5 linked regions of the Danio rerio genome follow. The protein of the gene in region 2 purifies or fractionates together with the protein of the main gene of each other region. This does not show direct contact. Links are inferred from orthologs where the notes say so. Each region holds a gene or a part of one and is shown on either strand. Other genes may lie near its edges.

Region 1 (3,076 bases), on a different chromosome or scaffold from region 2:
GAAGAGTTTCTAAACATGTACATCATGTGAATATATGTTTCACATAGAGAGCTAAAAATATATATATAATGCCTGTAAAGATCAAGTTTGCATTTTGTACATAGAGAATGATAAGCCCCCTTTAAAATTTAAATTTCACAGTATGTATGATAATATTTTTTCCTCTGGAAAAAAATGTGTTTGTTTTATTTCGGCTACAATAAAAGCAGTTTTTAATTTTTTAAACATCATTTTAGGGATAAAATTATTAGCCCCTTTAAGCTATATTTTTTCTCGATAATCTACAGAACAAACCACTGTTATACAATAACATTCCTGATTACCCTAACCTTCTACTTAACTTAATGAACCTAGTTAAGCCTTTAAATGTCTCTGTAAGCTGTATAGGTGTCTTGAAAAATATATTATTTAATGTCATCACTTGATCTTTACAAGCATTTATAATTTAAAAGTAAGTATTTTTTTCACTTGACCTTTTCAATAAAAACACAAGTGACACCCTATTTAGCCTAAACTATTTATTGAATTAAAAACTGTAATACAGCACATTCTGTTGATGTAATCGTATCTCAAGTCACTGCACTGTGACTGTGGTTATGAAACTCAATACGGCATGTTTTACTTTTCAGTAAATGTGTGTGTGTTTGCGTGTGTGATTTCAGTGCACATCAGCCTGGTTGCTCAGTAGATAAGTGCTTTTGAAGATAAGTCTCCCCTGGGCTTCTTAATCTTGTCAAAGTTCTTGGTGATGACATCATACAGCATGGCCTAGAGTCGAAGGAATGGATGAAATCAGTCACAGCCATCTTACAGACTCACCAACTTACATGAATGATGAGAAATGCAGCACTGAGATGTTGTTTTCAGGGAAAGCCGAGACAGAACTTACGTAAGTGTTGCGAATCTCCAGAACTATGATGCGTAACTCACAATACTGGTGCTGATCCAGTTCATGAACAAGCTGTCGGAAATCTCCCTGTTGCCCAGAAGAAAAGCAGGGTTAAAATCATTATCAGAAGCTCAAAGCATATACAAAAAAAGAACTAACAATAAATTAAACTGACCACATGTGGCTGTTTGGAAGCCTTGGCTACAGCGTCTCCTCTCTCACTGTAGTACCTGAGGAAACAACAAAACTGTTTTTTACCCTTATAAAACATTATAACTTTTAAAACACCTTCACTTTGCACACTGCTTCATTTACCCAGCTTTAACTAATAATCCAGGGTTATCAATCAGGGTTATCAATCAATCTTCCGACCAATCCATATCCGTTTCCAGACAAAAAAAAAAGGAAAATGAAGAAAACGGGCGTTTTTCTGTTTTTCATTTGCTCACAAGAAACGAAAAAACTATATTTTTGCTCGATTTTCATTTTTTTTTATTTAGGGTAGGAAAATGGATAAACTACTTCAAAATTCATTATACACATGTAGATTATTAATAAGGACTAAACTATTAATTACTGTTATTCTCCAGATGAAAAAGGCTTGATTAAAGTCCTGTCATTTTAAAGATTTTCTACAATTTAAGCAGAATTAGGTTAAAGAAAACTTAATTCAGAATGCATGAATTTCTGTGCGTATCACACGCTTTACGAGCGCACTTGCCTTTTTTATTATTTTATGCAATAGTAAATGCATAAAATAAAATGCAAACAGTTGGCAGCACGGAATAGTAGCCTATATACAATATTTATATGTGCAATATGGAACTGGGCCCGCTGTATTACATAGTTTGGTCACAAAGAGCAAATGTCAAGTTCAATATTAGCGCAACGCACAGACAGAAAGCTTATCTGTTAGTCTAAACTACAACACATTATTTATTATGAATTATAAGTATGTGTTTAATTAGTTTCTCTGAAAATTTGTTCATTAATCCAGTGTTTTCGAAATCCAAGTCTCAAAAGTCTTGTTGTGTGAGAAAACACATGTGAAATAGGCATTGCGGCTGACCGTATTGTATTGACCTTAACTTTTTTTAGTTCAGCTCTTAAATGAGTTGGCTATACCTAAGATGTTGCTCGTGCACAGCCAACGATCCTATTGTATTTTATTTAAACCCACTTATTTAAAATATTCAGTATAGCCTGCCCTGGGCTAGGCCTATATATATATATATATATATATATATATATATATATATATATATATATATATATATATATATATATATATATATATATATATATAGCCGAAACAAAACCAGTAGGAGGAACTAAAGTAATTTTAAATATAGTAACCTTTGTTGTAGCTACTGAGCCCTATTTAAAAAATTAAACAATTAAAAACAGTAAGTGAACAATATTAAATATTATTATTATTAGTATTATTATTGTTATTTAGGCCTACAGTAGCTCGGAAACAATCATGCAAACCAGATGCTGCTTGAAAATGGCTGTCTTTGCTCAGCATCAGGTGCAAAACAGCAAGATGTTTGGTGATTCAAATGAAAATGGAAAAACGGCAGTTTTCTTCATTTTCCTTTTTTTGTTTGAAAACGGATATCGATTGGATGGAAGATACCCTGTTTTTTATCATACTGATGTTTCAAACTTAAATAAAGGATTCAATTAAATTTGGTACTAAGCAACAGCTTAAATTTTAACTTACTTCGTAAAGTATGCTCTATATGACATGGTACATGGTGCATGGTACATCAGCAAGTATTTCATTAAGATTATGTTTAATGTGGTTATTATTTTTTTTGCCAGACAACAGCAGTGTATTTTATAAACTATAAATGCTAGTTTTGCAATTAATAATGTGTATTTCAATGTCAGAAACCTAATTTAAGTTTAATGTGATTGAAAACCCTGATAAGTTGTGATAGATGTTAAGCATGCCTCACATCAACACTCCAGCCCTTGTGGGAAAGCAGATTTAAATTTAGCAACTGATCGTGTGACACACTGATTGACACCACTATTCACACCACTGTTATGTTCACTTCAGATTTTAGCCTAGACTGACCACACGTTGTAGTGAACTCATCAATGGTTAATGAGCAACTACCGAGGAGGAAGAGGATGTTTGCTAGTTTAGAATGATGACGAGTAAATTAAAAATTATGT
Region 2 (4,086 bases):
CCACTTTCTTGAGTAGACCTTTGATCCCTTAGCATAGGCTGCAGTAATGTAAAGTAGGTTTTAGCTTCAAATAAGAGTTTGTAATATTGTGATTCACCTTGTAACTGGATAATTTGGTTCATAAATTATAATTCTTCAGAAGTGCATTTTTACCTCCTCTCATACAGAAGATTGGACACCATGCTCATGAAGGTCCTTGGCTTGATCTGACGACCTTCTTTCAGCTCATACAGGTTCAGGCGGAACTTCAGCCTTTGAGATCTAGAATAAAGGAAAAAGATTTTAAAAGACTAGTTTAGAAACAAATAAAAAGGCACGAGTTGAGTTTCATTTGATAAGATCTTTACACATTTGATGCATTCTTACACTGTCTGCACATCTGTGGCAAGGCCTGCCAGTCCGATGTAGAGTCTCTCTCCCATAGGAAAGATCTTCTGGAAGTCAGTGGTAACCAGCTGCGCCTGGATGCCAAACCTCCGGTCTGATGCTATCGCCACACACTCCTTTCCACGCATTGCCATGACGGCACCTCCGTTATATGACATAATAGACTATAGACAGAAAAGAAACAATTACAGATACATATTTCGAACTGTCATTATAAACATAAACATGTTGTCATCATCATTGTACCACAATACACATGGTAAAGTCTAGATAGGTTACAGCTGTTGATACGATACATACATCAATATAGCATCATTTTTGTAACACTGTATAAAAATAACTAATATTTTTACAGTACTGTGACAGTTGAGTTTAAGGTTAGGGTAGAAGTTAATAAAATACAATAAATGGGAAATTTTATAAATAATTCTTGTTAACTTCTGGCCCCAACCGTATCTGATCTAGCAACAACCAACACACACTGCAATCAATAACATTCAATTGTATGCTATATTAAAATAAATAACATTATATAATATTTTTGAGGGAAAAGTACTTTTTATTTACTCATGTACTAATGTAAATTAAAAAAAAAAAAAAAAAAAAATATATATATATATATATATATATATATATATATATATAGTTCTTTTATTAATTTCAGTATTATTGAATATTATGTAGGTTTACATAATTTATTTGCATTACAGTTTGTAAGGTAATATCTTCTGTCTTTTAGTAGATATCTCATATATATTTTGAGACTTTTAACCAATATAAGTTAAAAAGTGATTTGTTTTTTCGTGTTTTAAGTTTAGTTACTATACTCTCAAAATCATTCCTCATTACCCTGCAGATATTTATTTTAACAAAGGTATGCACATAAATAGCAAAAAATGGCCACAGATCCTACAACTAATAATTTAGTTATAATGGATTTAATAACTAAACAATATTTTGCAGTGTGTTTTGTGTTTGTACCTTGTCTTGCATTCATATCAGAAATGCTTATAAAAGTGATAAACTCAAAAGAGGGTAATGCGGAATTTCCATTTTAACACTGATACAATTTAAAAGTATGTATGTATTAAATAAAATAAAGAAAGCACGCCTATGATTAGCGATCAACATCCACATTTAACTTAACATATTAATTATGCGCAAAAATAGAAAAAAATGGCTGCAGATTCTACTATAACTGCATTACCAAGAAAAAAAAAAGATTGCATTTCTTAACTCCTAATGTCACGAGTTAAACACATTTTTTTCAACATCGCATAATTTCTAAAATATCAATCTCTACCGAATGGTTAATATGTCGGTTTACGGTAAAAGTACCAGAATTAATTATATATAAATATACTTTAAAATCTGAAAATATGAAGTATAAGACTATTTTTTTTACAATAAAAACCAAAATCAAGTGTAGTAGTGCAACAGTATTATGTTTTTTTTTTTTGTAAACCAACCATAGTGTGTAGTGTAAATCATTATTTAAAACGGACAATATTTAAAACAGTAAAGGTAAAAATAACTAGGTGAAGTTGGTTTTATCTTCGCACAAATTCGTTCAGTGACATTTTGCGACATTGTCCCTATATTGTTTACCAAATACTTTTTAAAATTCGGTGTGAAATTACATGCAAGCATGACTTCAAAACAACACCAGCACTAATTCACTGACTGTGAATCATGTTGTACTTTGATAGTTATTGGCTGCTAATATCATTTCACAATATAGAATTCGCAAATACTACATTATTGACATTTTATTATTAAGGAGAAGGTCAGCATGTCTGAATATAAAACCAACAATAGAGCAGGCATTTAAAGTGTCAACAACTAATGTTAAACGACAGCTTGCTGCTTTTGTTTTCGTGTTCGTACCTCGCCTGACGTTTATATCTGAAATGTTTATAAAAGTATTATTATAAGGGGGACATTTAAAATTGATATATTTAATAAAGCACGTCTATGATTACCGATCAACATCTATAATTAACACATGCAGTGAAACAGTTACTTTCGATTTAACGTTAAATGTGATCGATTCAAATAATCCATTAAAATATTATCTACTCGCCCCATTTAACTAAAACTCACTATTCAGGGGTGCTTATCAACTTATTAAAGTTACATAATAAAGACAATATAGCCTTCATGTTAGAATAAAACATTCTATAGCAACTTTCATCCGGAAAGATGAGATGGCAAATGAGCTACAGTGCTAATACAGACGATTGTATTCAACAAGAGAACTTAATCCTTTACGCATGCTGACTTACCATGATGGCGGATGTAAAAGTAGGGACCAATATGAAGAATTATTTGGAAAAATACGACTGTTGTGCTGAAATATACAACAGTAGACCGGGTAACACACGGTGACTACACACTTTCTTTCAAGCGCTGCTAGTTGTTCCTGCTGGTTGCGTCATTTCCGACTTACGCATTCCCTACAGCGCCTCTGCTGGACAAAATACTTAGCTGACTGTAATTTTTTTTTCTTTTACATTACTATTCTAAAGGTTTAAAATACTGTTTGATTCATACTCTTATAATATATTAAGCTAGAGAATTTTGTTTTACCTAAGTCACGGAAGACAACAACTGAATAAAAGTTTCTTGTACTTCACCATCTATCGACAGAGGGCAGTAATGCGCTGTCTTCATTCTAAATCCACACTAGTGGGAAAAGGACAGAAGAAAACAATGCCAAACAAATCACTAAACTAAAATGGGCTCAGAGGAAATGATTTTTAAATGTAAGTTGACAGTTTTCAAAACGTCCAAACGTGTCCCTCAATGAGTAGACTTATATGTTTAACGATGCTTCCTGCACGTAATACTTCACCAGTAATAACCGCATGCTTATGAAGCACGTCGTGTTTTTATCCATGTAATTCATTCTATTTTCAAGTAACTGTATATTTACCAGTCATCTCTGTGCATTTAGGGACTGATGCCAACACGGCAGATCTGATTGTGTGGAGAGTCACTAACAACAGTCTGTTTACTGGCAGGAGAAATGCAGCCATTAAAGCATACGAGTGAGTCAAAGCTGTCCTTGTTTTACTGAAAACTAATATCTTTCATTCGTCTTACTTGATGCTTTCAATCTACAGGTTGTATGTGAAAGAGAAACAACTGCAAGGGAAAGTGGCACCTACGTGGGTTCGAAAGAAATGGGAGAATCTAAAACAGAAGTATAAGGTGAATTGTTTCATTCATGCATTCAGACATCTTCAGAGATTCTTTAAAGGTGACCTATTATGCCCTTTTTTATAAGATGTAAATTAAGTCTCTGGTGTGTATGTTAAGTTTCTGCTCAAAATACCACACAATTAATGTTTTAGGACTCTTTAAAAACAACCCATTAGGCTTTGATCCACATTGTGCGGTTTTGGTGACTGTCACTTTAAATTTAAATGAGATGATCAAAAAGACCCCCAAAAGAGGGTGGAGCTATAAACGCCTATGCATTAACATAGTGGCAGATTTAAAACTCTAATTATGTGTTCACACCAAAGGCTATTCAAACGTAAATAGACGCATGGACATTTTCAGTTTTATAGCTTCATTTGTGCATAAAAATCACTTCACAATAGACACGGATTCACGTCATGGCCTGGGCTTATGTCTGCTTGGTGAATTTATTTATGGATTTTATTGAGATAATACCTGTGTTTATGTGCTTTA
Region 3 (2,551 bases), on a different chromosome or scaffold from region 2:
TATATATACATACACACACACTGAACAATATATTGTTTGAGCATGGATATTACAATGTGTGTATCTGCAATAGTCACATCTAAGCATTACATTTTCTATAACAGATTAAAAGATAAACATTACATTTTATATATATTTTCCACTTATACAATGCTAAACACATTTTTCTTTCAATTTAATGTCTGTACTTAAATACTGTTAGACTTCCCAGAAAACAATAAGGCTGTTTATTAATTTATTATTGCTTGTAATTTCTTATAATTGATGCTTATGCACTGCAAAGACGAAGACTTCATGCCAGTTGAGGTTATTTTATGAAATCTTTCTAATTACAGCTAGTCAAATCATCTGATATCGCAATGTCAGCTTTTTCCAATATTGTGCAGCTCTAACACATCAAATAAAGATAAAAACAATAGCAACTAAATAAGACAGATCTTTTTTTGTTGATGAAAGTTTCAACTGCAATAAAATACATTTATATTCAAAATAAAAGCACATGGAGCAACAGTGATGAGGAGAAGCAGGCTTGACTTTATTTACTATCAATTCAGATTTGAGCAACAATCAAATACAATCAATCAAAATTAATCATTACAGTCACCACACCACTTAATCCACTCATTTCTCCAACACATGTGACGCTTTCATAAAGAATAGTGTCAGTCAATTTTTCCAGTTTGCTTGCGTTTATCCGTCAGGAATGTTAAATTGCAGAAAAATAAGAGTCAAATGCCTGCGTGCTCAGATAAACGCTCTCCTCACGTCTGCTGCTCCACTTCCTGCCGGCCTCAGACTGCGCCGGCCTACAGGAGCACTCATTCCTGGGAGTGGCCCAATGGGGTGGAAGCGTGGCCGAGGAAGGATGACGGGCATCTGGTCATAGTCTCCACCGATGATGCCAGGAGGGTAGAGTGGCAGCGGTGCCGGTGGGGATGGAAAAGGGATCAGAGGGCTGATGGGAGGTGGATAAAACCAGTGTCTTCCCCGCCGCGCCGCCTCCTTCCTCTGCCTGTACTTCTGCTTGTACAGCTGAGGAGGACAAACAACATTAAAGGCCACATATGATGCAACGCTTGTCAGCACAGGCTACTCAATCAGCCAAATCACTCAGCTTTCAGCACAAAATGGACATATTCTGCAATTTAATGAATCTGATGACACTAGATTTCTTACATCTTGTAAACAGGTCAAATGGGAGCCCTTTAATATTTAATGGCATACAATGTTCATCTGTAGCTGCTGCTGTTCTACATGAACATAATAGACTGCATAAATGATTATAATAGATCAGCATTAAATCACTTCACCCCCTTTTAAAAGTAAACATCTTTATCCAGTTCTCAGCGGATATATATAATATTAGGTGCGAAGCAGATTTATTAAACAGTTCTAGCCTATGAAATAAGACTTTAGTCACTGTACATCTATAGGAATATAAAGATCAAACACAATTGTAATCAATAGGAAAAAATCTAGAGAAACAATGGAAGAAATGTAGGTGATTTTTTTTCCCTTTCTCTTAAATGCATTAGATTTCCCCTCATATCTAAATATATGTGCAATAATGTTCACACTGATCTTCAGATATTTCGATAGATTAGTTGATCAGTTTTGTATTTGGTTCTGACTAATCTTTTAACATTCTGATGTATATGCACACGTTACTGTACAGCATCCTGTAGAAAATATTATTATTATTTTTTGTTTTTTTACAATGGCTATGACAGTCTTTTCAATAGATGTGACAAGTTTCCTAAACTCTTAACACGGTTAGCACATTCATCTGCGTGACCCATACAATTAACACATTTCTTGTTGCTTTAATACAAAATGCATCCACTTACCACCAATTTAAAATGCTTGAACTTCTTTTACAAACAAGCTCAACCAAGACCAAAACTATGTCATGTTACAGTCAAATTTACAAATGCTTCCAAGCAGTATGTCAGAGCCGATAACACCATGCTCTAACCATAACTTGTCAAAGTGAACAGTTGTAAATATTGCCATTGAAACGCTAATTCATTCCCTATATTTTATTCCACTGCCAATGAGAAACAGCTAATTGGATAAAGCATGCCAAAGGATTCTTCCCACGATGCAAAACATGGCCAAATGCAGAAGACCGGGCAGAATGAAACATAACTTTGTTTTTGTTTTGTTTTTTCACTATAATTGCATTGCTTTTCTGATGTGATTATCTTGCAGTGGTGTCCTTTTGCAAATAAAGTCTGTACTGCAGCAATTCTGTGTCTGTATGTATTTTTTTACATAAGCTGTACATTGTATAAAGCTACTCTGAGACGGTCGCTCATTTATTGTATAGAATTTCTCCAACAAAAGAAACAAAATGCCTGCGTTTACTAAAGCCAACAACACAAAACTGTAGAGAGGCTTCAAATATAAGAGCAGAGCTGACACATACAATACTGCAGCTGATGAGTGTGTTTTATCATCAGTGTGTTCTGATTGACTAAATGTTCCTGTTGGAGGAGAGCATGTGTTGGTGTTTTGAATAGTGATTTGATTTTGAAACATGTTTGCAGTG
Region 4 (4,309 bases), on a different chromosome or scaffold from region 2:
TAAAGCAGCATGATATCAAATCTAGTATGATTTCATAAACTACACAGCATCCCGATATTCACAGAATTCAGGCAAACTTTAGCATAAAACCATACATTGTATAATCAAAAATTATAAAAAATGTAATACCTTGCAAAATAGCATTCAACACTTTGAGGGCCTTAAATTTCTCTACATTAATTGATCAACTTTTAATACTTTAAGACACACTGTACAAACAGGAACTTTAGTATAATGTAAAGAAGAGTGAGGGCTGGATCTGTCAGCACAGCAGAGCACATGGAAAAGAGAGGAAAAAAGACAAACGAAAAACAAACAAAACAACAAACAAACAAGATCTCCGTTTTTATTTTTTCCCCCAGTAAATTTCAACAGTATTTTGCAGAGTGTTTGGCCTGTCATGAATAAAACACAGTCATGATTATACAAATACAACTCTAAAACAGCCAGTAGGGGCAGCAAAAAGTTTAAATGAATTGAAACCTGTCTTTAGGAAGAGTAAAATGATTAATGCAAAATACATTCACCCAGGGCCAAAACACCAGTGTTGCACTGAGAATTGCTCATAAATATTTATTTATAGTTAATATAAATATTCTTTGCATAAATATAAAAAACAGAATGAAATATTTCCCAGTTTCAATATGAGCATTTAATAAAACAAGTATGTGTTATCATTGACAATCAACACTGCACACTTTCAAAACATATTTGTTTAACTTGGTAAACTAAAGACAATACCCACCTTTGTCGTCTCCTGCTCCATCTTCAAATTTCCTCTTTTTAGCATTTTGCTATTGAGAAAAATGTCAAGGTTATCTTTTTATCATATTCAGAGATTTTTGATCAACATCAATAGATGATATGACTGACTAATGAAGAAGACACTTGAAGAAAATGACTTTTACCCCCTCAATCCCATCGTGGATGTCTGTAAGCAGAATTGGGTCTGGCACTGTCAGATTGATCTCTGAATGAATTTCCTGCAGCTCCGTGATATTAATTGTGGGATCCTACAAGTGATCAAATGTATGAGTGTTTGTACAACAGGTAAAAGACTCAATGCATCATTTTGGGGTTTCAGCCCCTTTTAAAACAACATCTGGGTTTCACCAAGTAAAATTTAAGATTTTTTTAGACCATTACGAATTAAATTGCAAAATTTTACAAATGCTAAGGATTATTTTTAAATATCCCAGTTAGAAAAGATTTTCAGTTGCCCTATAACTTTTTTTGTAATGTAATACATTTAACAAAACAATTATAATATTAATAATTTAGTTTGATTTTTTTAAATAATTGTCAAATATATCCATTCACAAACTCTAAAGCCCTTACAAATATCAGAACAAAACATAGCTGTCAATTACTTCAGTCTACAAAAATAATAAAAAATATAAGACAGTCTCCTGTGTTAGACCATGGGCTGTATTAGCCACACCAACTTTTTGGGTTGGGTTTTCTCATTGAAAAACTTTTCCAAAGTAAAGTGAACTTCTAACAAAAAAACTGCAGAAACTTGTTTTAAGCATTATTATTTAAGTTTGATTTCTCAAAAGTCTGACTTTTCATTTCAAGATATGTAGCCGTTGAGATTTTTAAAGTTCTTCTTTAACATTTACAATGAAAAAAATAATTTTTCATAACAAGTCAATGTGATTTAATTGAAGGACGTTTAGATTTTTGTCCTGGACAACAAACTAAAAATCATTCAAATCATTGAAGTGCATGCAGCATTTAATCAAGACTTTGCAATTTTAAAACGTTCTGCTCCAATTTACGACTTTTTGCCTTCAATCTGAAGAGAGACAAAGCAAAACCCTGATCATAAACCACCATCAAACACTTACCTTCAAAAACTGGTCCAGTTCTAACAATTTCTTCGGGAAAAAGTTTGCAACCAAGTCTTCAGCCTATATGTCAACAATAAAACAATAAGTGTCAAATAGTCAAAGAAATGTCGGTATATAAATAATACATGTATAATTTATACATGTAATCTCCGTTAATTTACCTCTGATGTAATTCGTTCTCTAAAAGCATCAACCTGACAAGACAAAAACATTAATATGTAATTTTAGAAACACAACTAAGGCAATTCCCAATCTGAATTTTGCAGTCACTGCTTTTATTATTTTTAATAAAATCGCTTTAAGAAAACAAAACAGCTGGCGGCCTTTCTGTTTTAGGGCGCTGAATGTAGAACTGCACAATCCCGCTGGATTAATTTATTAGCCTCATGATCTTAACTGTAAACCTTTGACAAAATAAGTAGATATTAAAAATTACTTTTAGCTCGCTAATGGAAAAAAACGATGGCAAACTTCTCTCCAATTCTCCCGTAACGACATGCTGCTGTGCTAAAAACACGCTTCATCCGCACACCCGCTGTTAACAACGACTCCGCCGAACATGTGGGGGCTTCGGCTTCAGCTTGGTGATCTGATATATACAATCCGAACGTACTTAACGTTTAAATCAATATTTTATTTGAAAACTGTTTGATTTTACAAGCAAATCTGGATCTGAAAGTTAGCAGATGTGCTCACGAGGTGACTCACGGGCAAGCCGGCTAGCCGCAATGCTAACATTTACAAACAGTTTATTTGAGTGCGGCGTGTTTAAATAAAAGAAACGTTAAGACTTTTACCTTTGTTTTGATTTCATTGTCCACCTTCAGGAGCGAAGACATCGTATTAATTCAAGAAATGTGAAAATGAAGGGATTGTCCTAAAAGCATTAACTAACCGTGTGGCTTACTAACTGCTGTCAGCCACAAGGCACTTGCGCGCTTTTAGATGACGTAAAACACAGAGGCCATAGATGCGAATACATGATAGATGTGCAGAAAGAGTCTGGCATTCGTGACCAAATTCAGTCGAATTAATGCAACGACAACGCAGCTTATTCGTGTGCGGTTTGGCTGTATTCTAAATAGACACTGAAAAAAGTACTGGGTTATTTATTTGAACACATTGTTGGGTGAATTGTGCTGGATCAAAAGTATGGACTGTTTGATGTAGGCTACTATAAAACATTTGGGGTTTGCTGACCCAGTTTAAACTGGGCTTATTCGCTGATGAAAAGGTCAGGTCATTTTGATTTAGCTGGTTTATTAATTGCAAATTAGATAAAAAATTTATGGTTAATAGAATATATTAATGAACATGGGGGAAATAACAAACAAACAATAACAGAGATACTGTAATTTAAGTAATAATTATAACAATAATGAAAATAAATGACAAGAACAACATCAACAATCATCAATCAATAATCATAATAAACCATTATTTATTTATTTATTATTACCACTGTTGTTCTTGTAAGTAATAATAATAAAATAGAACATTAAGAATAATACTAGTAATAGAGTTTGACATTATGGCTACAAATTCTATTTCTCTCTTTAAAAGGTAAATCTGATCCCTGACGTGAATATCGCTTTTAACACGGTATCTATGTATTTTGATATATCTATGTTCTTGACGACTTGGAAAAGAGTGAAGCGCATGTCTGCGTCATATTTCTCGCTGTACATAAATTATTTGATGAAATCACAATATAAGTACCCACAAGAACAATTAAAAGCTTTCGCTTACCATTGAACAATTTTTATTTTGATATTTGATAAAAAGTATAAAAATATTTTGTTCGAACGTAAGCAAATCCGAGACACTTCCTGTGACGTACATTGGAGGCGTGTCTGAATCTAGCGATGTAAACAAGAACGCAAAAGACAAGTCTCACAGTGTTGACAGCACCACGGGCATTTAGAGCGTCGTATCCCCTCATCAAACGCTTCCGTTGACTCTGGCTCACAGACATGAACCTCCCCGTCACTGTCAAAGTGAACTTTAGGGGCAACGTGAAGAAATTTCCAGTCTTGGACACGAACAAAGCACAGTGGGAGACTGTGGAGGCCTGGGTAAGGAGTCATTAAGCCTTGCTGGGTGGCGTTTATGTGGGGACGTTTACATTTCTTGGTCCTACAAGGCCGTAGCTGAGGCCTACATAAACAAACCTTTAACCGGATGCTAAAAACGAATAACGTACAGGCAAATTCTTTAATCCTGTCATAGAAAATATGTCTTAACATGTATTTTAGCTGGGTCTTCTTTTAAAATCCACAGTGATGTAAATTGCAGCAATATCTATTATTTGCTCTTGACCTTTCTGTTCGGCCATAAATCAGATGACAGCTTCTAAATAAACACTAACGATGTAAAATATCGTTCTCGTTTTAATCTTACTGTGCCTTCTTTACATTTTCTGTTTATAACTTTTAGATTAAAACTACTTTCGGCTT
Region 5 (4,137 bases), on a different chromosome or scaffold from region 2:
GGTGTTTTATTTTTGTGGAACTACTTTTTTATTTCACTCTGCTCTTTAAAAACCTGCATTTTCTTGCTGAGAGCTTCAAACTAACTATTTAAAATGTTTTACGTTTAATTTTAGACTTGTCATTTGGATTTGTATGTCTAAACTGTCAAGAAAATATTTTCTTCCGATACTAACAGTAACAGGTGCTTGTTAAACATTTACTCAAAAACTAATACACCACGTTATTTTAGATATCAAGGAGATCTTTTGCCAAGTTTAACAACTGCCCGTTTAAAGGCCCGTTTATGTTAATTTTGTATGTTTTTCCTGTGTTGAAGTGGGTTTCCTCTAGGTGAAGGTTAGATTAATTTGAAACAGTATTGCTTGTGTGTAGAAATGTGTATGTGTCCAATATATCGTTAGTCTTGAGATTGACTGCCAATCTGACCAGGATGTTCCCCAGCATTCAGCCCAGGACGACGGATAAATTCCAGCATCCCAGACACCCCCCTTAGACAAGCGTTTTATATGGAGGATGAAAGAAAATTGGCAGAAATTCCAAGAATTCACAACAAAAAAGGCATAATAAAATCTAAAATCTACGCAATCAAATCAAGGCTCTTTATGTCAATCGAAGACAACATTTAATTTAGCAGTAAACGCTTTATTCCTCATATAAAAGCTTCGTAAGAATACACTCACCCTTATATTGTTCTTCCCTTTTGTAGTAGTCAAATAAAAAAATCCACTGATTAAATCAAACAAATTAAAACAGAAATATTTTGCTGTTTACTTCATAAACACTTCATAAAAGCGAACGGACATTGAGGATGACTGCGGCGTTGTTTCTTCTTCGTGACGTCATGGTCGTGCTTTTGCACAAATCACGCATTACTGCCGCCTGCAGGGCTTGATTTTTCCCCAAAACGACCGTGCTTGAGGAAAAGGAGAAGCCATTATAACAATAATCTATATGAATAATAATTATAATAATTAATAATAGTGCATAGTTTGGGACATATTCCATTAGGATTTTGTGGCGCTCAATTTTAATTTTATTTTTTCTCTTTATCTTGTGTTCTGTCTCTGCTTTTACATAAACATAACGTTTAAGCTATTAATTGCTATTTGTGTTAATTATCAAGGCATTGGTTGAATGACGATTCCTTATTTCTTATAAAATTGTCATATTTCTGTATTAAATAAAAACAGATAGAAATGGGTGTTGTAACATTTTCGACAGTAATATGGAAATGCATATTTTTGGTAGTTCACCGGTACTTACCCAGAGTCCTGACGTGAACCCAGTGGGCGTCGTTTAGAAATCGAAAGTATCGCGAAGGGAAATTTGTCATCTAAACGTCTGCGTCTCTCTGCTTGCGACCTGCTTCGCTTATTAAGACAAATTGCTTTCATTATGTCTAAAGCTAATGTACTGAAGCTAAACTCTGATAATGCAGTGAGGGTAAGTTCATCTTTATAATCTTTATATAATCTCCGTTTACAAACTCGAAGTAAAAACCGTTTGTTTAAGCTGTGCATTGAGTATGGAACCTGTAAGACGTTTTAAAGGTCTTTTTGTCGAATGTATGGATGTTATCGAACGTAACAACTGCTTAATATCTCAATTTATATGTTACAAAAATCCTGAGTCACACTTCCTCATTGACAGTGAAAGTGAAAGTAACTTTACCTGAAGCGCGATGCTTGTAGAAAAATAATTTCTAAGATAAATGAATTGTAATTGAACGTTTGTCTTATCTTCATCCAGATAGAAAACTACCGCCAGTCACTGTATAAGCAGGTATGAGTTTACTTCAGATAATCCAAACATAGGCTGCATTCAGTCTTGTTGCTGCACTGTTGTTTGTGTTGACTGATAGTTCTTTTGTTGACAGGCAGAAGACCTGTTCTCCAATTACATACCATTGAAGATCTCACACCTTGACAACCTGCTGAAGGTATATTTTGCGAACATTTGATTATTTGGCAGATGTGACTACATGCTAATAAACACTAGGCTATATGTGTCTTTAAATGAACTCATCATTACCCTGTTCCAGCTCAACAGAGTTGTTTTAGCTTGAATTCAGCAACAACTGAATTAAAATATTTCTTTATGATTTTAGGGCGATGAGTTTAGTATCACTGACCTCTCATCTCTCCATGCACCCCTGGACATACCCATTCCTGATCCCCCTGCCCCAGAGGACGAGGTTGGCATGCAGCTCAATATTGATAATTATGCTTTCTGAATTAATATTACAAATATTAATTATGACAATATGTATGTAAAATATTTCAATAGGAGATGGAGACAGATAAAAATGAAGATGATGAGAAAAAGAAGAAAGGTAATGTGTACACACACACACACATACGTGACGGGTTTCACAATTTCTCCAACTATTACTTTTCAGCATGTTTGAACCACAGGAAGTAAAAACTATTTTTAGTAGTGGAATAATAGTAACTACCAGTGATGTACGTGTAAGATAAATGGCTGAAAACATGTAAAAACTGGCGCAGAAATTATGTGTTACTAAACAAATACCGTACTAAAAGCTAATGTTAGCTGCATTTACCTATTGGCAGCTAGTTACTAGAACCATATTTCTGCAGTTTAACTAATTATTGGCATGATTCTGTCTCGTAAGACAATGGAATCTATGCCATGGGATCTTTATTTGCTGAGTTACATCACCTGCTGTGACTATAAAACCTAATTCTGGAAGAGCATGTTCATTTGCAATGATTGCAAGTAGGTGCATCATGTGTTTTTGTAATTTTTAAGTTGAACCATGTTAATTTTGTAATACCTGTGTCATTATAAACATAGCCAAGAACACACACACAGCTGTATCTGGCTGGTCATGTGAACTCAATAAGGACAATTTTGTTTTTGGTGTTAGATGACAATGCAGATTTAGAGGATCTGTGTAGGAATTTGATCTAGTCTATTTGCAATGTCCTGTGTCTGATTTGTCTGGTGTTCAAAGCCAGTCATCAAAGTTTTGTCAGGGCACAAAAGGTTAGTCACCGACAAGTCTTTTCTGATTCCCAAACATTCAAAATCATTTGGTGTGTCCTAAATTGCACAATTATGCTCTATTCTGTTCAACCATGCCATACACTTTAGAAAAACACTCTTTAAATACCTGCATCATGCACTTAGGCCCAATCCCAATTCTATTTCTGTACCCCCACTCCTTTCCCTTGGTCCTTGAAACCAAGTCTGAGGGGAAAGGACTCCAAAATTTACCCCTTAGAATTGGTAAACCATTACAACACCTGCACACGTCATCATATGTTGCCGCGATATCTTCATATAAGATCGAGGATTACAACTGCTGTAGTTATTCCAATTGTGTTATTTTTGGGTATTTATCTTCAGGAAGTCACTGAAGGCAAAGATATCATGCTATCAAAACGATATAATGTGGCAATAAGTACTTTGCACTGTTACACAGTGGCCATATGCATAGACCCTAGTTATACCCCGACACCAGAATTTTCTGACAGGGTATTCGAGTGACAGATGTAAATTTATGTTGTGGGACTACTATACAGGAGTTATTATTATGGATTATAGATAGAAAAATTTAGCGGGGTTTTTTTTTTTTTTTTTGAAAGTTTTTTTTTAAAGCATGACGGTAAAACACAAATGCTGTTATGAATGTATTAAAACATATGTTTGTATGTTGTTGACAAAAAATACTAATTCGTGCATCTACTGACTTCTGTGTGCATATTTTGTACCTATTAGTTAGGAGTGTGGTTTCGAAAAATCTGTTTCAAGGGCTATTTAGCCTTCAAGCTAAAGAGAACTTTAGTAAGGGGGGTAAGGGGAAGGGCTAAGGGGTAGAATTGGGATTGGGCCTTATTCAGCTGATACAAAGTGTCAGTTTTGAAAACGTTATGCACTTAACGCTTACAGCTTTGCTAGTGGAATGGAAGGCGTTATCAAGCTCTCAAGTTTAAAACAATTATTTTGAATTGTGTAAGCAAATTTTTTTTATACCACCTCCTGGTGGTGACTGGGGTTATATTCAGGTACTATTTGGTAGCTTGCTAATTTATGGAAACTGTTTAATGTTAACTGTAAACTTTTATATTTCTGGATAGTAAACAAGGGTGTCACACAGATCTTAAAACAGA

The links.
Region 1: the proteins of psmb3 (region 2) and psme1 purify together in Homo sapiens (affinity purification with mass spectrometry; 4 studies listed by BioGRID and IntAct, counting the BioPlex papers as one, with this or other methods). This does not show direct contact. The link is inferred for Danio rerio from reciprocal best matches to the Homo sapiens genes PSMB3 and PSME1.
Region 3: the proteins of psmb3 (region 2) and fbxo7 purify together in Homo sapiens (affinity purification with mass spectrometry; 4 studies listed by BioGRID and IntAct, counting the BioPlex papers as one, with this or other methods). This does not show direct contact. The link is inferred for Danio rerio from reciprocal best matches to the Homo sapiens genes PSMB3 and FBXO7.
Region 4: the proteins of psmb3 (region 2) and psme3 purify together in Homo sapiens (affinity purification with mass spectrometry; 4 studies listed by BioGRID and IntAct, with this or other methods). This does not show direct contact. The link is inferred for Danio rerio from reciprocal best matches to the Homo sapiens genes PSMB3 and PSME3.
Region 5: the proteins of psmb3 (region 2) and psme2 purify together in Homo sapiens (affinity purification with mass spectrometry; 3 studies listed by BioGRID and IntAct, counting the BioPlex papers as one, with this or other methods). This does not show direct contact. The link is inferred for Danio rerio from reciprocal best matches to the Homo sapiens genes PSMB3 and PSME2.

Annotation. Positions count from the first base shown.
Region 1 is NC_133199.1:14,416,713-14,419,788, reverse strand, and holds the end of psme1 (proteasome activator complex subunit 1), read right to left. Parts: intron 1,120-3,076; coding exon 1,065-1,119; intron 977-1,064; coding exon 890-976; intron 769-889; coding exon 682-768; 3' UTR 504-681; downstream 1-503. UniProt on the Homo sapiens protein: Implicated in immunoproteasome assembly and required for efficient antigen processing. The PA28 activator complex enhances the generation of class I binding peptides by altering the cleavage pattern of the proteasome.
Region 2 is NC_133181.1:17,508,484-17,512,569, forward strand, and holds the start of psmb3 (proteasome subunit beta type-3), read right to left. Parts: upstream 2,809-4,086; 5' UTR 2,676-2,808; coding exon 2,673-2,675; intron 552-2,672; coding exon 367-551; intron 262-366; coding exon 154-261; intron 1-153. Other genes in the region: uncharacterized protein si:ch73-193c12.2, read left to right, coding at 3,125-3,152, 3,344-3,437, 3,513-3,600. UniProt on the Homo sapiens protein: Non-catalytic component of the 20S core proteasome complex involved in the proteolytic degradation of most intracellular proteins. This complex plays numerous essential roles within the cell by associating with different regulatory particles.
Region 3 is NC_133179.1:953,655-956,205, reverse strand, and holds the end of fbxo7 (F-box only protein 7), read right to left. Parts: exon of another isoform or gene 2,241-2,551; intron 2,173-2,240; exon of another isoform or gene 2,036-2,172; intron 1,033-2,035; coding exon 745-1,032; 3' UTR 515-744; downstream 1-514. UniProt on the Homo sapiens protein: Substrate recognition component of a SCF (SKP1-CUL1-F-box protein) E3 ubiquitin-protein ligase complex which mediates the ubiquitination and subsequent proteasomal degradation of target proteins and plays a role in several biological processes such as cell cycle, cell proliferation, or maintenance of chromosome stability.
Region 4 is NC_133187.1:29,024,206-29,028,514, forward strand, and holds the start of psme3 (proteasome activator complex subunit 3), read right to left. Parts: upstream 2,810-4,309; 5' UTR 2,693-2,809; coding exon 2,651-2,692; intron 2,048-2,650; coding exon 2,015-2,047; intron 1,914-2,014; coding exon 1,851-1,913; intron 1,014-1,850; coding exon 909-1,013; intron 795-908; coding exon 746-794; intron 1-745. UniProt on the Homo sapiens protein: Subunit of the 11S REG-gamma (also called PA28-gamma) proteasome regulator, a doughnut-shaped homoheptamer which associates with the proteasome. 11S REG-gamma activates the trypsin-like catalytic subunit of the proteasome but inhibits the chymotrypsin-like and postglutamyl-preferring (PGPH) subunits.
Region 5 is NC_133187.1:13,890,631-13,894,767, forward strand, and holds the start of psme2 (proteasome activator complex subunit 2), read left to right. Parts: upstream 1-1,322; 5' UTR 1,323-1,396; coding exon 1,397-1,444; intron 1,445-1,750; coding exon 1,751-1,783; intron 1,784-1,877; coding exon 1,878-1,940; intron 1,941-2,108; coding exon 2,109-2,195; intron 2,196-2,287; coding exon 2,288-2,333; intron 2,334-4,137. UniProt on the Homo sapiens protein: Implicated in immunoproteasome assembly and required for efficient antigen processing. The PA28 activator complex enhances the generation of class I binding peptides by altering the cleavage pattern of the proteasome.